Linked DNA regions of Drosophila melanogaster. The protein of the gene in region 2 purifies or fractionates together with the protein of the main gene of each other region. This does not show direct contact. Each region holds a gene or a part of one and is shown on either strand. Other genes may lie near its edges.

Region 1 (3,843 bases), on a different chromosome or scaffold from region 2:
GTGATGCAACGCCTTGGAGGCAATCTTGGCGATGGGATCGCCCAGTTTGTTTACCAGCATGGTTAGCAGCAGCTGCTCCTTTTCGGGAGCATAGGCCAACAGCCTGGCTGCTGACACAATAGAGGAGTTCTTATTGTGTTCCTGTCCAGTCTGCAGGCCCTGCATAACGTTCTTCAAGAACTCGTGGTACTGATCCTTTAATTCGCTCTCAAAATGCCAGTACGCGTAAATGCGGCGCTTCTGTTCGTTGCGCAAATTCTCATCCTTTTTCAGCTTTTTCCAATCAGCACCACGTGTGTGCACCGCCAGGAGTTTTCTGTTTGGCGGGAGCAGCACCTCCTGCCACAAATCCGTGAGCACTGCAATCACATCATTGCTGGCCTTGTTGGAGATCTTGCAGAAGCCAATTAAAGTGCTCAATGCTTCCAAATTGCCCAGTGGATTGCTCGTCACCAGAAGGGCGCCCGCATTGGCCCGATCCTTTGCAGTACCCTTGTGCAGAGCGGTTTGCAACCAGCGAGCATCCGAGGGATTACCTAAAGATGAGATAAAAACATTAGTAGGGGTTCCAATTTCCGAGTCGAGAAAGTCTTACGTTTATTAAAAGTTATCTTCTCCGCTTCGAAGGAATTCTTGCAGAGATTGTACAGCTCCAGCTGATCGTTCTCCTTCATGTCCAGCACCTCATCGGTGGACGGATAGTCGGGATGCTAAGATACGATAGTGATAACTATAAATGATTTATTTCCACGATTTCAGTTTAGTTTCAACATACCACATGATACCACTTCTTTTGGGACTCCTCGTCTTCATCTATTTTTGACTGATATTTGTTGTGCTTTTTGGAAATGGAGTCCCCCAGTTCCTCATCACTGTCTCCATCGCTGTCGGATACATTTTTTCCAGCTCCATCCTCATCAAACTTGATTCGTTGGGGCTTTTTAAAGTTCTCCTTGGACTCTCCGTCATCTCCAAACTTGATTTTTTGGGACTTCTTGGTCGGTTCCGTCTTTGTGTTGGAAGAATTCGCAGTTACTTCATCTTCTCCATCATCAGTGAACTTGATTTTCTGAGGTTTATTGGCGAAGTCCGACTTTTGACCATTATGTTTATGGTTGTTTTTGTTGAAAGGTTTTTGATGCACTGCTTCTCTATCCTCTCCAAATTTGATTTTCTGTGGTTTTGGTCCATTTTTATGATTTTGGTTGAACGACTTGGAAGCTACTTGTTCTCCATCATCGCCGAACTTTATTCTCTGTGGTTTGTTGGCAAAATCCGGCTTTTGGTGGTTCTTATTAAAGGACTTAGCACCTTTCGCTTTTCCATCCTCTCCAAACTTAATTTTCTGCGGCTTTTTCACCTGTTCCTTCCCTTCAAATTTTGGCCTTTGTGGGTGCTCCTTTTTGTTTTGTTTAACTACCGCCTCGCCGGAGTCGTCGAACACGATTTTCTTGTTTTTGGGCGGTCCACCGAATTGCACACCTGTGGCCACTGCTGCCGGCATGATTTTATATTTTCTAAAGCTATATATTAGATAAAAATCATTAAATAAAATAAACGGCGTTAGAAACAACTCGCACGTGTATTCAAATATGACATTCACCGCGAAACGTAAGCAACATATGTATGTCGTCTACTTAGTGACGAATTTCATTGTCTTTATGATATTAAAATTTTGTATTTAAAATCTTAAATAAGAGAGTATCCAACTTAGTTTTAAAATTTATAAATTATTCAGTAATTACCATTGAAATGACCGTGACTTTTGATAGCAGGTGGGTTTGAAGTTATATAAAGCTTGAAGTTATTATAATCTGATTATAAGTAAGAATAAAATTGAAATTCTTATATAGAATTACTATTAATTTATAAATTATTACATTAACTTATGTTTAAGTAACTGAAGTTGTGCTATATTTTCTTTTACCGTTACACCATTTTTCCACAATACATTTACGGTCTTACTGCCTTGACGCGCTTGGGATTTGTTAGGACGTTTATCGCATAGTCCTCGTGTTCGGTCTCGTATTTTGAAAGAAAATCGCAGATTATCGCCAATTTGAAGCGATTATCCCGGTCTAGATTTCGAAGGGGTCCTTTTGGATAGCGAACATTGCAATGAGCACCGAATCGGCGAAGCCGGCACTCAGCCAGGAGGCCATTGTGGCCCAGTTCCAACAGCTGCGCAATGAGCAGCGCAATTTGGTCAACAGTTTAAATACGCTCGAAATGGATTTGAGGGAACACAAGTGAGTCACCGGGGGCCCAAAGATGGATGACACGTCTGTTTGTGATTTTGGGCAAGTGGGAGAATCCCTGCAGACACAATGACATAACTCCTTATCCTCCCTAGAACTGTGATAGAAACTCTGGAGGCGGCGGATCCCGAACGGAAATGCTTTCGTCAAATTGGTGGTGTGCTGTGCGAAAGGACCGTGAAGGAGGTGCTGCCACAGCTGGTGGAGAACAAGGATTTCATCGCCAAGACCATCCAAATGGTCACCAATGACCTGAGCAAAAAGGGCAGTGAGCTGAACAAGTTCAAGGAGGAGCACAATATCAAGATTCGCGGCGAACACTTGGTTGCCGAAGGAGCCAAGGGCGACGATGCGGAGGACAAGGCGGAGAACCGTAATGTCCTGGTGTTCAACTGAGAGCGATTGATTACCTCACCACACCGTATTTATTGTGTCTATGTTGAGAGGGAACTCTGCCAGGATTTGCGAGCGATAATCCGCGTTTATTGAACACTTCTAATGTTGTATGTACTTCTAGCTGTAAGGCGCAGTTCGCGAAACGCCTCCAATCGCACCTTCACACCAACACTATCCATCAATTCCCCTCATTTAAACTTAACCCACTCTGGCCACGAATTAAAGATACCTTAAACTTCCGATTGAAATTAGTCATGTGTCTTGTGATTCATTCAAGATCTGAAAATGGATGGACCTCTATCCACCGACTGGAAACAAAAACTATATAAACTATATGATTATTTATCCCTTTTATGCCATTTGTTCTGAAACATTTTATTGGTATGTTAGTCAAATTAGTTTCCTATAAGGAAGTGATTTCATCTACATTTTTACACTTATGTATTCTTGCTTCATAAGTCTTTTAATTTAATATTTGTGGCTAAATCAAGTAAGCAGTAGTTTATTTTCCATTCCCCGTATCGTGGTTAATCCGGTTAGTCGGGTATTCGACTTATTCGACTTCTGTAACTATCCCATTTTGCGGCTCCTCCCTCTGGAAGTCCCTTTTTCCGCCGGATTTGCTTAGCAGGCGGACATTTGTGATGCAGATATCGTGAGAAACAGCCTTGCACATGTCGTACACAGTTAAAGCGGCCACTGAAACTGCAGTTAGTGCCTCCATCTCGACTCCAGTTTGGCCCGAGCAGCGAACGGTTGCCTCCAGCCGCACAGATTGTTCGGTTTTCAGAAGAGTGGCCTGCACTTTCACGGAGGACAAGCTGATGTTGTGACACAGGGGTATCAGTTCGGCGGTTCGCTTAGCGCCCATTATGCCAGCAATTTGGGCTACGGTTAGAACATCTCCCTTGGCCACTTGATTGTCGGCTATAAGTTGGGTAAGTTTCTCACCCACCTGAACGGTGGCCTCTGCACGAGCTAATCTTGTGGTCGAAGGTTTTGCGCCCACATCCACCATTTGGGCCTTGCCCTGGCCATCGACATGGGTGAGTTGGCTGTAATTTCGGGCCTGAAGCTGCAGCCTTGAAGTATGATATGCGTGGTGATACGAATAAGGATGAAGATGATGATGGAGTCTTGGCGCAGCATCTGCAACGGGAGAGGGGAGAGAGTGTGGTGTGTCTACTAG
Region 2 (4,945 bases):
TGCATTTTCCATTCATTTTCCATCCAGAGTACAGTTGCCAAAATGGCGTCATTTTTGCACGACTTCGCTGTCCATGTGGCAAAAATTTGTATTGAGGCCGGCATTTTCACACTCACACATTTGCATTTATGTATACCAAGTTGTGTGCGTGTGTGTGTCGAGTGGTCTTTTTGAGTCCCGGCATCTGTGTTTGTATATACCGCATATTTGTCCGATTTCGCAAAGATGCTTGAAAATTGTTGTTCTACTCTGGCATTTGGGGTCCAAAATTTAGAACGAAAGTTTGTTACGCCCGAATTTCCGATCGATATAATGCTTTAGGGCCATTGACATTCGCATATGTACTTCGTGCCCATATGTATGTACATATGTAAGTAATTATAGTTGGGTGTGTCTGCAATTACACCGACGCTGGTGGCTGTGTGTATGCCTGTGTGCGTGTTGCATGCATGAGTCATTTTCTCTTGGGCGAAAGACTTTCATAGTTTTTCACCGGTTGTGAAAGCCATTTCACTGCCCAGATGGTGAAGGGTACTTTTCTATCGTCAAAACACGATAGCTTTTCTACACGCACATAAGAGCTTGCTGCTCATTTGTATGTGTGAGCGTCGGCCGGTTTTTTCATTTAATTTTTTTTTTTTTGCCGCTATGCGTCTTCTAAAGAGAAAACATGACGTCATTTTAACCTAAAATGGCTGAACCGGTCGTCGTTGAACGGTTCGCAGAACGTATAAGAGTTGATCTTATACGTAGATGGGATATAAGTATGTAGATATATGTGTTCGTAGGCTGCATTAGCTGTTCTATTGATTTTCATGCATTCCACACTCTGCTCCCTACTTAAAATTGCGCTACTTCGGCGGCTTCTCTATCTTATCATGGAATGAAACAATTTTCTATTTTTTATTCATGACTATAGTATAGACAGATTTCGGTTCTCTTTCGGCCATTATGTGCCAAAATGAAACTTTACTTTTAGCAGTAGGAATTGGGAGTCTGCAAGGTGAGATGATGACCTTATATAGAGGAATTTGCCATCTGTTTGTCTCTATCCCAGTTTCCTCTCGCACACAAAAAGCAACGAAACCGAGAAGGGCGGTGCTGCACATGCGTGTGGGATAACGGGGCACAGGACACGAAGGTGATGTTGATGATGACGAATCTTTCTAGTCCTTGCCCGAAAAATCAATACCCACATGCTGGGCATGGGCCCATGAGCCGAAAACAACCCTCGGAAACGCCTTAAAACCCGAGCAGCTGCAACATCAGAATTGTTGTGCCCAAGTATGGCTCTCAATATCTCTCTCTCTCGCTTTCGACCCGACCGGCTTACAAATGTGTATTTCTATATTTATATATACACTTTATATACATAGAATCCGGTATGACGGTGTCATTTCGCTAAACGAGTGTCAACCACGCATTTCCTCCAATACCAGTGTAGCGACTTATTTCGGTTAATTGTTTTTATTTGTTTACGCGACATAAACAACGACCATCGCAAAAAGTTCAGGTGACGTAATGCCCTGAAAAACAGACGATTTATGCGCCAGATGGTCGGTAGTTGGAGCACTGAGCTGCAGTTTTAACCTCTCAGCAAACAGACAACGCCAACGCCTCTCTCCAACTGGTACCCACTGCTCCTCCCACTCCTCCTCCGTTTCCCTCTTGCAGAGACGAGAGTGGGTCGCGAGACCCGAACAACCGGTGATGTAAGCCGCATCGGAAGCAGGGGGGCTTTTTGGGGTGGCAGAGCCCGGCTCTGAGGTCGCCGGCATTGCGTGGGGGCAGCACGTAGACATATAGACAGACAGACAGATAGTAGTTATACAGCTCAGTTCCAGCCCACGCCCGAAGATTCGAGTAAGATCGGTCGGCGGAACGCAATGACAGCTGCGCCTCGAGATCCGAAACGAAAACCCACGCCAGATGACGTTATCGTTGGTGTGGCGATGGTGCTGCTGGTCGTGGTGGTGGAAACGCACCAAAAATGGCAGCGAATAAGTTATGTTAATCGGAGCTCGGCCCATACACAGAGTTTATGATGGCGTACATGGGTGGCCTAAACCACGTAGCCGAGCCCAGACATGTGTATGTACATCGGCTGCTTCTTGTGCCCATTTATTCCAATCAATAAAGAGTTATATATAGACTGACTTTCCATAACCCATCACACATTTTGTTCGAGAAGGTTTCTGTATCGAAGTTATCTGTATAAGTTAAGAGAAAAACAAGAAAATAAGATTGCCTTTCACATGCATCAACTTTCACTGGGTATGGAAGAAAAATTTTAAGCAAATTACTTGCAGAATTGGAAATGAGTTTCAGTGATTAGTAAAAGTTTTCTTCAACTGCAGTACTCTTGTGCAAATAAAAGTTACCGTTGCTTAAGCATAAACTTCTTTTGTGATTTATGTGAAGCAGTCAAATAAATACTAGCTGTATATATGTATGCAGCAGATGGTCTAGGCTTTGAGTAATTTTACTACCATTGATTTTCTGTGATGACTCATTGGCCAAGTCATTCATACATTTTCTTAAGACTGAGTTAGAAAACACCCCCTAGTAATCGATTTTCCTGCTGACTCATGTTCACAAGAAATGCTGTACAGCACCTGCAAGTCCTAATCGCACTAATCCCAAATTCTTTACTTCCATTTCTCATTTGCAGTTCTGGGAGATCATCTCCGATGAGCATGGCATCGATGCCACCGGCGCCTACCACGGTGACAGCGACCTGCAGCTGGAGCGCATCAATGTGTACTACAATGAGGCGTCCGGTGGCAAGTACGTGCCCCGCGCTGTCCTTGTCGATCTGGAGCCCGGCACCATGGACTCTGTGCGATCGGGACCTTTCGGCCAGATCTTCAGGCCCGACAACTTTGTGTTCGGCCAGTCGGGTGCCGGCAACAACTGGGCCAAGGGTCATTACACAGAGGGTGCTGAGCTGGTGGACTCAGTGCTCGATGTTGTCCGCAAGGAGGCCGAATCCTGCGACTGCCTGCAAGGCTTCCAACTCACACACTCCCTTGGCGGCGGCACTGGCTCCGGTATGGGAACCCTGCTGATTTCCAAGATCCGCGAGGAGTACCCCGACAGGATCATGAACACATACTCGGTTGTGCCGTCGCCCAAGGTGTCGGACACCGTTGTGGAGCCCTACAACGCCACCCTGTCGGTGCACCAGCTGGTCGAGAACACGGACGAGACCTACTGCATCGACAACGAGGCTCTCTACGATATCTGCTTCCGCACCCTCAAGCTGACGACACCCACATACGGTGACCTGAACCATCTTGTCTCCCTGACCATGTCCGGCGTAACCACCTGCCTCCGATTCCCCGGCCAACTGAACGCTGATCTCCGCAAGCTGGCCGTCAACATGGTGCCCTTCCCACGTCTTCACTTCTTCATGCCCGGCTTCGCTCCCCTGACCTCCCGAGGATCCCAGCAGTACCGCGCCCTCACCGTGCCCGAGCTGACCCAGCAGATGTTCGATGCCAAGAACATGATGGCCGCCTGCGACCCACGCCACGGACGCTACCTTACCGTCGCCGCCATCTTCCGTGGACGCATGTCCATGAAGGAGGTCGACGAGCAGATGCTGAACATCCAGAACAAGAACAGCTCCTACTTCGTCGAATGGATCCCCAACAACGTGAAGACCGCCGTGTGCGACATCCCGCCCCGTGGTCTGAAGATGTCCGCCACCTTCATCGGCAACTCCACTGCCATCCAGGAGCTGTTCAAGCGCATCTCCGAGCAGTTCACCGCTATGTTCAGGCGCAAGGCTTTCTTGCATTGGTACACCGGCGAGGGCATGGACGAGATGGAGTTCACCGAGGCCGAGAGCAACATGAACGATCTGGTGTCCGAGTACCAGCAGTACCAGGAGGCCACCGCCGACGAGGACGCCGAGTTCGAGGAGGAGCAGGAGGCTGAGGTCGACGAGAACTAAATTCGAATCGGAAATCAATCGAATTCTCGATCAATGTTTTGCGAAAAAAAATGAAACGAGAACAAATGAATTCAGTTGTAAAAGATTTGTTCTCTTAACAACGTAATCAATAAAGTCGGATCCAATTTTGTTCACAAGTCTAAACAATTATGGTTTTTGTTGGGGTTTCTTATAATTAATAAGAGAGATATCAATCATTTTACGAGGATTATGAGACTGCGTTTTGTAGTCCAAGAAAGCTGATTAATGTTTAGAGTGTTGGTATAAATGTTAATAGGCTCATTAATGTAGGTTTTGACAAAAGCGAGGTATTTGTACATTTTCTCATTGTATTATTTGGATTCACAAATTTATGTTTATTTAATCGGGTTTCTCCCAGCTAAAAACAATAGAAATCTTTTCACCGGCTGTGTTTGTTTTGGACATGGTTATGTTGTGATGATTGATAATTTCATTCACATTAGTTTATTTATAGACCTTTTTTATTTATTGACAATGATTTGCCCTACCTACCTCAACTTTCGAGCAAATGCTGCATAAACAAAAGTAATTCGCCCTTGAAGAGGACATGACATGATATTTTCAGCGTAGGAAGTGGGCCTACGTACCATTGTGGTTCAGACGGCCTTGTATGCAATAAATCTAATTAATATATATATATATATATATTATGGTAGTCTTAACGCTACGGTTTCCCACACGCGATTTTCATGAAGCTGGAGTGTAAGTTTTTTGTTTTTATTCAAAACTTAAAAATCCACTTTGCATGTGTCATAAATAATGAGTCATGAATCATAACCTTAATTCACTTTAATAAGCATAATTAGTTCGTTGAAATATCTCTATTAACTACTTCTGCGGAGTAGATAAACGTGATTTGCTGTTTTAATGCGCATATGTATTAACAACATATTAAATGCACAATTAAACTGTGGTCATAATAAATTATTAATATTTAGCAGTGATTAAAATTCATTCTTAAAAAGA

The links.
Region 1: the proteins of betaTub56D (region 2) and Pfdn2 purify together in Drosophila melanogaster (affinity purification with western blotting, with the first as the bait; one study listed by BioGRID). This does not show direct contact.

The regions. Positions count from the first base shown.
Region 1 is NT_037436.4:11,072,522-11,076,364, reverse strand, and holds Pfdn2 (prefoldin 2), read left to right. Parts: upstream 1-1,976; 5' UTR 1,977-2,118; coding exon 2,119-2,249; intron 2,250-2,353; coding exon 2,354-2,654; 3' UTR 2,655-3,073; downstream 3,074-3,843. Other genes in the region: Noc1 (nucleolar complex protein 1), read right to left, coding at 1-536, 596-710, 776-1,504; Mocs1 (molybdenum cofactor synthesis 1), read right to left, coding at 3,208-3,803. UniProt on the Drosophila melanogaster protein: Binds specifically to cytosolic chaperonin (c-CPN) and transfers target proteins to it. Binds to nascent polypeptide chain and promotes folding in an environment in which there are many competing pathways for nonnative proteins.
Region 2 is NT_033778.4:19,446,473-19,451,417, reverse strand, and holds betaTub56D (beta-Tubulin at 56D), read left to right. Parts: upstream 1-1,818; 5' UTR 1,819-2,007; coding exon 2,008-2,091; intron 2,092-2,671; coding exon 2,672-3,958; 3' UTR 3,959-4,099; downstream 4,100-4,945. UniProt on the Drosophila melanogaster protein: Tubulin is the major constituent of microtubules, a cylinder consisting of laterally associated linear protofilaments composed of alpha- and beta-tubulin heterodimers.